3 linked regions of the Cricetulus griseus genome follow. The protein of the gene in region 1 purifies or fractionates together with the protein of each later gene. This does not show direct contact. Links are inferred from orthologs where the notes say so. Each region holds a gene or a part of one and is shown on either strand. Other genes may lie near its edges.

Region 1 (3,258 bases):
GATGGGAAAGCGCTACCTTCGAGGTGTACACACTCTTGTCAACACACTTCAGCACTACATGAATTAGAGCAGTTTTGTTTAGCTTTGGGGGACATAATTTTTTCCTAGTAGATTGGATTCCTCATGGATCCAGCTCCCTTATTCTCGGCATGATTAGAAATCATTGGGCCACTTAGCAAGCAGCTTTGCTGTTTAGGGAATTATGTGGGTATGACTGCATATGGTAACAGCTTGTAGTTAAAGTAATAAGTATCCAGTAATTGTCACAGCACACAGTAACTTGCTTATCCTACCTTACAAAAGGAAACTGGTGCTCTGGGTGGTGAACTTGTCCATATCTCGAGGAACTAAGATTCATGCAAATCCAGGACTGGCATATCAAAGCCTAAGGTTTTTGTTGTTCTTTTCTCTCCTAAGACAGGGTCTTTCTATGTAGCTCTGGCTGTTCTAGAGCTTATTATTTAAATCAGGCTGGCCTTGAACTCAGATAGATCCTCCTGCCTCTGCCTCCTGCATGCTAGTATTAAAGGCGTGCTTGACTGTGGACAGCCTGAAGTGTATGTTCTTAACCATGGTAACATGCTGTTTCTTCAACAGGTGATGAGAATGGATCTGTCTCTCTTGTGGACACCAAGAATGCAAGCAGTACCCTCAGCTCAGCTGTGCACTCCCAGTGTGTCACTAGGCTGGTATTCTCTCCACACAGGTACTGTTTGTCATCAGGGGTTTGGAAGGGATGGGTTGGGCCAGTGGTGAGGGGTAGGAATGGAGTGATAAGGAATGTATCTATTGGCACAGCATTAGCTGGTTACATTGTTCCTTAGATGGAACAATGTAAGTACTCGAGCTTGGTCTTCCTAAGCTAGTCAGTACAGTTCTTATTAGGGTTGCATAGTCTAAAAACAGCTGAAATGTGATCTCATACCTGTTCAACACAGCTTGATTGATGTTAGGCTTCTGGCACCATGTGCTTAAGGAGCCTGATTCTGGGTAATTGCTAATGTAGAGAGGGACCCATTGGGTAGTTGGTTACCAGGGTGGTTTCTATGAGTACTGTCTCTGTTCCATTTTTATTGGAATTATAATGGCAGGAAGACCTTAACCCAAAGGTGGGTATCAGGCTGCCTTTTCCCCTGGCTCAGTTTATGGTGAGTTTGGGGCTGGTGCAGTCAGATTTTGGTTATGGAATCTAGGCTTTATCTTCTCTCCCCTTTGTTCCCTCTCCTAGTGCTCCCTTTCTGGCCTCTCTCAGTGAAGACTGCTCAATTGCTGTGCTGGATTCAAGCCTTTCTGAGGTGTAAGTTTGAAGTAGAACCCTGTGGTTAGGAATCAGGCATCAAGACCAATGGGCAAGCAGGTCTGTTTTGTCTTCAGGAACTTGCATGTAGAATTCTTCCTTTGTTGGGACTGGAGAAAAGCTCAGTAGTTAAGAATACTTCCTTTTGTTCCCAGCTTCCACATCCGTCTGCTCCCAGCTGTCTGTCACTCCAGATCGAAGGCATGTGATGCCTCTGCTTCTGTGGGCCTCTGCACTTGGGTGCACATACCCACTTACACATTATTAGAAATAAATAGAAGAAAATTCTCCATCTTTGTCTGTAGAGGTTCTCTCCATTTGTGTCTGTGTGTCTGCAGAGACTGAACACTGGAAGCAGTCTGATTGTAGGCTAAGTCTAGCTAGCATCCCAGCTTCACGGAGGGAACCCCTGCTGTGAAGTGAAACCTGCTATAGAGAGAAAGGCATGGGAAGGAAGACCCCGGTGTACATCTCTCTCTGCTATGACTTCCTGCTTGGTTGTAGATATACTACTTCTTTGCTCTGCATACTATTTCTTCCCCTAGGAAAGTAGACTGGATTGGATTGAACATCCACTGTCCTGGTGATAAGCTGTACAAATGGTGAAATGTTTAAAAACAATGTGTCCTGATTATGTTAGGTTTTCTTTCTGTCTTCTTCCCACCTCGGTTTTTGTGTTATCTCTTACCACACACCCACTTTTGTTCCAGGTTTAGAAGTCGAGCCCACAGAGACTTCGTGAGAGATGCTACGTGGTCTCCACTTAACCACTCCCTCCTTACCACAGTTGGCTGGGACCATCAAGTCATCCACCATGTTGTGCCCATTGAGCCTCTCCCAGCCCCTGGACCTGAGAATGCCTCAGAGTAGAATGGATTTCAGAAAAAAAAAAAAAAAATAGCCCTCCACCTGCAAGAATCTGCTTGCCTCTGCCTCCGTATTGTGAGAGCACAGGAAGGAGCCTTGTAGAGCATGTTACTCCCTAGTCCCGTGCAATAAACAGGCAGACTCTCAGCCTGAGGGAGGCTGCAGCCCATAGTGTCTAGGAGGGAAAACTTCCTTTATATAAATGGGTATATGTGTTCGAGAGAGCACATGTGTGTGAGTGTATTAAGTAGTTTGGGGTGGGGAAAATTATTCTTCAGCTTTCCCAAAGCACTGCTCTTTATTTCCCACAAAGTGAGAACAGTTTTATGCTTCCCAAGTCCAAGAATTGGATATGTTGTCTGGGATATGGAATGTGAGTATCCCTAGATTTGTGGGAGTGGTTCCACCACTCAGAGATGGGGTAACTTATTTTTATATAGAGTTTAATTCATTATGGGGAATACTTCAGTCCATAAAAGTCCAGCACAGTATACCTTGAGAAGACACAGAAATACCACAGTTTTGTACAAATCCATGTTAAACTGAATTTTCAGATCCATTTTCTTGGTGAATAAATTTGGCTGTTGCAATGTAGTTCTTGCTCACCCTTTGCCCTCCTCTGTGTTGTATGAGAGAGATGAGTGTTTTCCTGTCCTAGATTTCATAGAAAGTTTTAGGGATGATTGAACATTTAAAGGGGTTTCAGTGAAGTCAGAAAACTGACAGGGTTTCTTACAGAGAAATCTTTGTCATTTTTCCCACCTAAAGATACCCTGAGACCTGATTGCCTCTGGGCACCTTCCTCTGGAGATATGAAGTCTGAGTGCTGTATTTGTGAACTATTAAGATTTAAGATCCATCATTAGGGAAATTCTGAAATACTGAAATGTGAATTAAAGACTTGGGTCATGGCCTTTTCCCCCACCAAAGCTGTTGTTACTTTTTGTCTGCTTTACTTAGGTGAGTCACCAGGATGTTGTCAATTTTACTGCCGCTGTCTGTATTTTACCATTCCTGAAGTAGTTAGTTAAGGGAGAACTTAAACATTTATTTATACTTGGTGTTGGTGGTCTAGCCACTCCATTTAGAGTTCA
Region 2 (3,746 bases), on another chromosome or scaffold:
GCAGTGCTGCTGACCTAAGTGAAGCGGAGCCCACCCTCACACACATGAGCATCACCCGTTTGCATGAGCAAAAGCTGGTAAGAGCCAGAGCTGCCCCTCCGCGGCCAGGCGGGGAGCTGCTTCACTCAGTCACCCTGTGATAAACAGACCGAGGAGCTCAGCTTCCTGTTTGGTCCCTGCTGTGCTCCCTTTCCAAGGAGGAGGAGTAGCCCCTGTCCAACTGTGAGTCTGCAGGTGGAAGGGCTGGCTTTAGGCAGCATCCTAGCCACAGGGGAAGTCTGCTGAGCAAAGGAAAGGGATCTGTCTGGGCTCCTGGGGGACCTGAAAGAGAAGGACCCAAGAGGGTGTTGATCCAGTGCCCCAAGCTGCTACCTAACTTGCAGTACAGATGCTTGTTCTCCTGGATGCTTCCAGTGTTTCAGAGCCAGCAGGGGAGGACATGACTCCTTCCTACCACAGGGCCCTCCTGGGCTCAGGATAATTTCACAGATACAGGGTGCTTCCTCCGTCCCTTACTGATTGCCACGTGTCTCTTTTTCCAGGTACAGCATGTCGTGTCTCAGAACTGCGACGGGCTCCACCTGCGCAGTGGGCTCCCACGAACCGCCATCTCAGAGCTCCACGGGAATATGTACATTGAAGTGAGCAGTGCCAGAGGGATGCAGGGCCTGGGTGACAGGCATGTCTCACTCATTGTGTGCTCTTATCCTCAGGTCTGCACCTCCTGCGTCCCTAACAGGGAGTATGTGCGAGTGTTTGATGTGACCGAGCGTACGGCCCTTCACCGGCACCAGACCGGCCGGACCTGCCATAAGTGTGGGACCCAGCTCCGGGATACCATTGTGCACTTTGGGGAGAGGGGGACATTAGGGCAGCCTCTGAACTGGGAGGCAGCGACCGAAGCTGCTAGCAAAGCAGACACGATCCTGTGTCTAGGGTCCAGCTTGAAGGTGCGTGCTGACAATGCCATGAACGCATTGTGGGTTGAGTATGATACGGGGCTGCCTGCCCAGAACTATTAGTGGGCATTAGATTTGCTGTTTTCATCCCCCTCCTGTGTTACGTCTGTCCATCCCTACAGGTACTGAAGAAGTACCCCCGCCTCTGGTGCATGACGAAGCCTCCAAGCCGGCGGCCCAAACTCTACATTGTGAACTTGCAGGTAACATGGGTGCTTACAGCTTCTTCCTTATTCCTGGGGGTGTGCCACATTTGTGCATCCCGGGAGTCTTGCACAAGTCCATGCTCCTGGAGATGGCTGACCCAGCGTGCAGGGGACAAGCAAAGGGCTGGAGGTTCCTCTCATCGCCTTTCTTGTCTTCAGTGGACACCAAAGGATGACTGGGCCGCACTGAAGCTTCATGGGAAATGTGATGATGTCATGCAGCTCCTCATGGATGAGTTGGGCCTGGAGATCCCAGTCTACAGCCGGTGAGTGGGTGCAGCGCATGGGCCATTTCTGCCCTTCTGTGTGATGGGCTGTGTCTGTCTTCTGTGAGCCTCCAGAGGGACCAGCTCGGGTGAGGCTCCACACAGGTGCACTCTTCCTCCCTGACCGGTATGGTGCCTGGCATTTCTGTGAGGAGAGGGGGGTCTGCTAGCGTGTTCTCTATAGGATGTTTCTCCACAGAGCTCTTGCAGCCTGGGTGGACAACTGTAAGGGGTGAGGACTGCAACTCTGGTCAGACAGAATCTGCCCTTGGTTCTGGGATATCTGGGGAAAGCTTAATCAAATTGCCTTGATAGAGAATTTGTGATAATTTAGACGCGGTGTGTATATTGAGTGAAAAGTTTACACTTTCTTTCTCTGTGAATTTTCAGGGTCTTATAGGGGAAATCAATAACTTCTTTTAATCAAAGGGTTCAAGAAATTAAGGATCCCTTCACCTCTGGGCCTGGCAATTCTTGTATGTTATGTTTGTGGTGTTCTGTGACGTGGGCCTCTCCTGTGCTGTATTGTTTTTTGTTGTTATTGTTGTTGTTTTTTTTTTTAACATTAACTTAGCTCATTTTTCAAATCAGTGCTTATCTGCATCTTATGTTTATGATATGTGGTTCTGCATCTCAATCAGATACATGATCTCTTCATGGTCTAGTCTGTAGGCCAATGCCCCCCTAGTCAACTGGCCTTCCCTTCCCATCCCCATCATGCAGTCTGGAAAGGGTAAAGGGTCTGGTCCATCTGCCCTCATCCATACAAGTGAAAGGTGGGGCCCAGAGTTGCTAGCAACTTATCCTTGGAGATGGAGCCGTCCTGCAGCGAGCACAACCCTTCCCGTGTGTGCTGAGCCCACTAATGATGGATGAGACACTGCAGAGTTCAGCAAGAGCTGTGGCCGGCCAGCCGGCCGGCCTTTGAGTGGCCACCCAGGGAGACTGTCCCCCGCAGCTCTTTTATAGCTGGGTGACATTGAAGCTGCTAATAGTCAGAGCCCAGCCACCCTTAGGACGCAGAGGGAAGGGGTAGGATGACAGTTGGCCTCAGACAGCTTTTCCTGCGCCCGGGAGGGTTGTGGTGGGGAGGCTCTCAGACCTCCCTGATGCTGCTCCTCTTTCTGTTAGGTGGCAAGACCCCATCTTCTCCTTGGCCACTCCTCTCCGCGCTGGTGAAGAAGGTAGCCACAGTAGGAAGTCGCTGTGCAGAAGTAGAGAAGAAGCCCCGCCTGGGGACCAGAGTGCACCACCTAGCCCAGCTCCCCCCATCCTAGGAGGCTGGTTTGGCAGGGGCTGCGCCAAGCGTTCGAAAAGGAAGAAAGCAACCTAGCCAGGCGTTGACAAAGAACAATTGGCACTTTGCAGAGGGCTTTGACGCTTGTTCAGGGGCCTATGTCACCGTGAAGGCTACAGTGCCCCCACCGGATCTAGTGGGAAGAACTCTTGGGGGTGGCATTTCACGGTGATGTTTTTTTTTAGCCATTTGTCCTTGTGGGAAGCCTCTCTTGCACTGTTGTAACTGCCCCAATATGGGCTTGACTGTCAAGGACGCCGACCCCCTCCATCCCCCCTGTACAAAGGCGGCAGCAAGGCCTTTGTGAAAACAGAGCTGTCTTTCCTGGCCTGGCCAGCAGAGGAGCCCACCACTGCCTTACCTCACTCTCCAGGCTAGTCTCAGGGCCTCCCCATTTCTACTACTTATTACTAAAAGCGTTCACTTTATAGAAACCTTTTTCTGTGTTGGGTCTGCAGCACAGGGGCGGATCTAAGCCTCCAGTCTGAGCAAGTCGTATTAAAACATCTCTCTCCTGCCTTGGTGTCCCAATGACTCTACGTGCACCACGGAGTATCTGAAAATGTCTGAGGCCAGCTATGCCCAAGGCGGGTGGGGTGGGTGAGTGGGGGTGGCGGTACACACCATCACTTGGGAGCCAGAGGCAGGGGGATCTATGGGAGTTCGAGACCAGCCTGGTCTACAAAACAAGTTTCAGGACAGCCAGAGCTGTTACGCAGAGAAACCCTGTCTCAAAACAAAACAAATAACCAGGTCCCTGGGAATGCTTAATGCACGGGTGGGGTGGGCTGGGGTGGGGTGGGGGCGAGCGCACCCGCTTACTCGCGGTCCCAGCCGGCTCCCTCTGGGCACAGTGCCTGCCTGGAGGCAGTTCTGCAGCACACCCCTGGGAGGTGCAGCCCGCTGAGCCCCGACCTTCGACACACGCCATTGGTCGCGCAGGTTGGCCGGAGGGGTGGGGCCAGCCGCGGGCGGGGCCGGGAGCAACGCACGCAATTGGCCGCGACAGGCGGGGTGA
Region 3 (3,466 bases), about 210 Mb from region 1:
GCTGGAACAGGTATACATACGTGGCAGCAAGATCCGATTTCTGATTTTGCCTGACATGCTGAAAAACGCACCCATGTTAAAGAGTATGAAAAATAAGAATCAAGGCTCCGGGGCTGGCCGAGGAAAAGCTGCTATCCTGAAGGCCCAAGGTAGGTGTTTTGTGAGCTGGCTTCAGAATCTCCACCTTGCCCTGTTCTTTTAGGGAAAGGCCCTATTGTTGCATGGAGACATGACTGTACCGCATGTTGCTATACCCTGTCCTGACCTACCCCCAGGCTTGAGAAATCTTGGTACCGGGGGCTTTTCCCTGTTACCTTTCTTGCCTTACTTGATCCTATCACGGAGTTTAGTAAAATCCCAAATCTCTCCTTAGGGGGGTAAAAAAAAAAAAAAGATGCAGATTCCTTGAGCAAGGTTGGTGGCTCGCACCTATAATGGCAGCACTCAAGAGGCTTAGGCTGAGGGGGCCAGCCTGTGCTACACAGCAAGACCCTGGAGAGGCAGGCAGAGAGAACCCTGTCTTAAGTGAAATGGTCTTCTATAGTGAAGGCCCTTTGTTCTCAAAAATTCTATCCAGGAGGGCTAGGCAGCATGTTCTAGTCTAGTGAGGATGTGAATTAACACCTGAAACAGAAGGGTACCTTCCTAGAACTGTACGTGACATCCCCCATTCACCAAAGACAGAAGGGGTAGAACAAACCAAACACAGTTCCACTCAAGTCTGTCTTGATGAGCCAGTGAGCTTATCAGCGTTACTTAGGAGCATGGCTGCCCTTGCTGCTTCACTGGAGTTCCCCCTTAAGTTAACCATACATTTTCTCTATACTTCTCACCTCTCCTACAGTGTGCAGCTGGGGCCTTGACTGTCCTATAGGCCAGGGTGGCCTCAAATTCACAGAGATCCACCTGCCTCTGCCTCCCAAGTGCTGGGATTAAATGCGAGCGCCACCAACACCTGGCTCTCTCTTGTTAATTTTTAAAGTTGCATGGATTAGCTTCTTTGTGGGGAAAGGGACACATGTGGACATGAGAGTACAACTTGTCAGAATCAGTTCTTCCTTCCACCATGGGGCTCTGGGAATTGAACTTACATCTGCAGGATTGGCAGCAAGCATCTTTACTTGACAAACCATCTTGCCATCCTGTGTTTCAAGTTTTCTTAAATTTGACATTAAATCCCTCTGAGACAAAACAGCAGTGTAGCCACACTGTCTCCCAGTGTCTGCTTAGCTGCTCTTGGAGATTGTCCCAATTATGGTTTATATTTGGGTCCCTGGAAAATTCTGCCACGTTATTTATTGCGTGTTTTATATGTGAGGTAGCTTCTGTGTTTAAAGATAGAGTAGTTTTATTCTTTGTTTTGTTTGTTTGCTTGTTTTCTTTTGTTTTAAGAGCTGATTAAAGTCTTGGGACCAGAGATGACTTGGTGGTAAAGGTGGTTTTCATGTAACCCTGACAGAAATTGTCCTCTGACTTCTACATGCACACAGTACACACAGACATGAATAAATAGATACAAAAAAGTGTGAGAGAAAATTTTTCCCTTTGCGCCCACTATGACTGCTCTTGCTGTCATAGTGACACTGGGTGTCCCATCTATGCCAGTCATTGTTGTTTACTTCAGGCAGTGAGTTGTCCCTGGCCAATGACTGCTACATGAGCCACCTGTGCCTTTCCCAACCTCTGGCTCTGGTCCCTATCAGCAGGTGCATAGGTTTCCATCAGACTCCTCCCTTGGGACTGCTCCATGTTCCTGGGCACATAGGTCACAGAGTGGGAGACTTGTGCCTTTTTATGGGTAGTGTTATTTTGTTTTTGTTATTAAGCATTTCTTTCATGCCCAAAAGCCCAAAGACTCCTTATCCAGAATTAACAGGCACTTAGTATATGTGCTGGAGAGTTTCAAAAGTGAATTGAGGGCAGGGTGGTTTAGCTCAGTGGGTAAAGAGCTTTCCACACAGTATGAATACCTGAGTTCAGTACATTCATGGTAGCACCTGCTTGTAAGCCCAGCACTGACAAGACCAAGAAGGGTCCCTAGCCAGCCAATCTAGTCTACTTGGCAAGCTCCAGGCCAGTGACAGACCTTGTCTTAAGAAACAAAGTAATGGAGCCAGGCGTTGGTGGTGCACGCCTTTAATCCCAGCCCTTGGGAGGCAGAGGCAGTTGAATCTCTGTGAGTTCGAGGCCAGCCTGGTCTACAAGAGCAAGTTCCAGGACAGCCTCCAAAGCCACAGGGAAACCCTGTCTCGAAAAACCAGAAAGAAAGGAAGGAAGGAAGGAAGGAAGGAAGGAAGAGTAATGAATGGTACTGAGGAACAATACTTAAAGCTTTCCCCCTCTTCTGTGTACACACACACACACACACACACACACACACACACACACACACACACACACACACACACACACACACACACACACACACACACCCTTCCTTCCCTTACACCATACAGAGTGAATTGAATGCATCTAAATGGCATAGTATTTTGCCATAGGCCAGTCCTGAGACTTTGTCTTTCCTGTTGTACTCAGACTACTGTCAACCCTACCTACCACTCTAATAGCCAGAAATCAGTGTCTACTTGCACTCCTTTTCCTCCCCGTCACTGTGTGACAGGTAGTGAATTGGGGTGATGCTGGTTTTGGTGGCCTCTCAGGCCCCTTCCAGAGCTGATGCCCGGGCTCTAGCTTGTCATGAGCACTCCCACACACTCTGACCTCTCCTCTTCTTCCTTTCAGTGGCTGCCAGAGGAAGAGGACGTGGAATGGGGCGTGGAAACATCTTCCAAAAGCGAAGATAAATAAATTTCTGTGGAAGAGAACTGTGTCCTTTTTTCTCTTAGGTTACTGTAGATTGGAGGAGAGGCTATGTGTGCATATGTTGTAGGTTTTCTTTTGATATTTCTCTTTGTATCAGAGAAACTGTTAAACTTAATAAAATTGGTTGTTTTGTGGTTTGTTTATGTGAGGGTTTGTTTTCTTTTGTTTTTAAGGAAATAAGAACTATGTGTTCATTCTGTAGTTTGCTTTGGCAGCAGGTTAAAATCTGACACCCTTGGACATGTGCTGGGAGAATGCCAGTACTTTTCAAAAGCAGTTGTTGATAAGAGTTCAGGTGCTGTGTCGGCCAGTTTCTAGTTGAGCCAAGAGAAGGCTGACTCAGAGAAACTCCAGGACCTGGGTTATCTTTGACACGTGCACTCGGTGTGGCACTTTGCTCAGTCAACCTTTGTGGGGCGCCATCAACCTGACCTGTGAAGATGTCTCGTGGCCTGATGAGCACTGGTTACTCTAGCCCCTCAGCATTTGAGCACAGTCTTCTGATACTAAGAAGTAATGCAGAGGCTCCTGGGGGTCCCTATCTGTGGCTACTCTACTGGCTCCACACAGTGTAGTTAGCATCTCAGCATTGGTTAGCACATTAATTATTAGCAAGGGAGGATAAGATATGCAGAGTATTTGA

What was found. Proteins that work in one complex are often made in the same cells at the same time.
Region 2: the proteins of Wdr77 (region 1) and Sirt7 purify together in Homo sapiens (affinity purification with mass spectrometry; 3 studies listed by BioGRID, with this or other methods). This does not show direct contact. The link is inferred for Cricetulus griseus from reciprocal best matches to the Homo sapiens genes WDR77 and SIRT7.
Region 3: the proteins of Wdr77 (region 1) and Snrpd3 purify together in Homo sapiens (affinity purification with mass spectrometry; 3 studies listed by BioGRID and IntAct, with this or other methods). This does not show direct contact. The link is inferred for Cricetulus griseus from reciprocal best matches to the Homo sapiens genes WDR77 and SNRPD3.

What each region holds. Positions count from the first base shown.
Region 1 is NW_023276806.1:51,042,343-51,045,600, reverse strand, and holds the end of Wdr77 (methylosome protein 50), read left to right. Parts: intron 1-597; coding exon 598-706; intron 707-1,228; coding exon 1,229-1,297; exon of another isoform or gene 1,298-1,357; intron 1,358-1,452; exon of another isoform or gene 1,453-1,589; intron 1,590-2,007; coding exon 2,008-2,167; 3' UTR 2,168-2,758; downstream 2,759-3,258. UniProt on the Homo sapiens protein: Non-catalytic component of the methylosome complex, composed of PRMT5, WDR77 and CLNS1A, which modifies specific arginines to dimethylarginines in several spliceosomal Sm proteins and histones.
Region 2 is NC_048600.1:133,112,892-133,116,637, reverse strand, and holds the end of Sirt7 (NAD-dependent protein deacetylase sirtuin-7), read left to right. Parts: intron 1-4; coding exon 5-77; intron 78-542; coding exon 543-641; intron 642-713; coding exon 714-950; intron 951-1,081; coding exon 1,082-1,162; intron 1,163-1,324; coding exon 1,325-1,431; intron 1,432-1,821; exon of another isoform or gene 1,822-1,907; intron 1,908-2,562; coding exon 2,563-2,764; 3' UTR 2,765-3,246; downstream 3,247-3,746. UniProt on the Homo sapiens protein: NAD-dependent protein-lysine deacylase that can act both as a deacetylase or deacylase (desuccinylase, depropionylase, deglutarylase and dedecanoylase), depending on the context. Specifically mediates deacetylation of histone H3 at 'Lys-18' (H3K18Ac).
Region 3 is NW_023276806.1:263,052,713-263,056,178, reverse strand, and holds the end of Snrpd3 (small nuclear ribonucleoprotein Sm D3), read left to right. Parts: coding exon 1-149; intron 150-2,742; coding exon 2,743-2,804; 3' UTR 2,805-2,966; downstream 2,967-3,466. UniProt on the Homo sapiens protein: Plays a role in pre-mRNA splicing as a core component of the spliceosomal U1, U2, U4 and U5 small nuclear ribonucleoproteins (snRNPs), the building blocks of the spliceosome.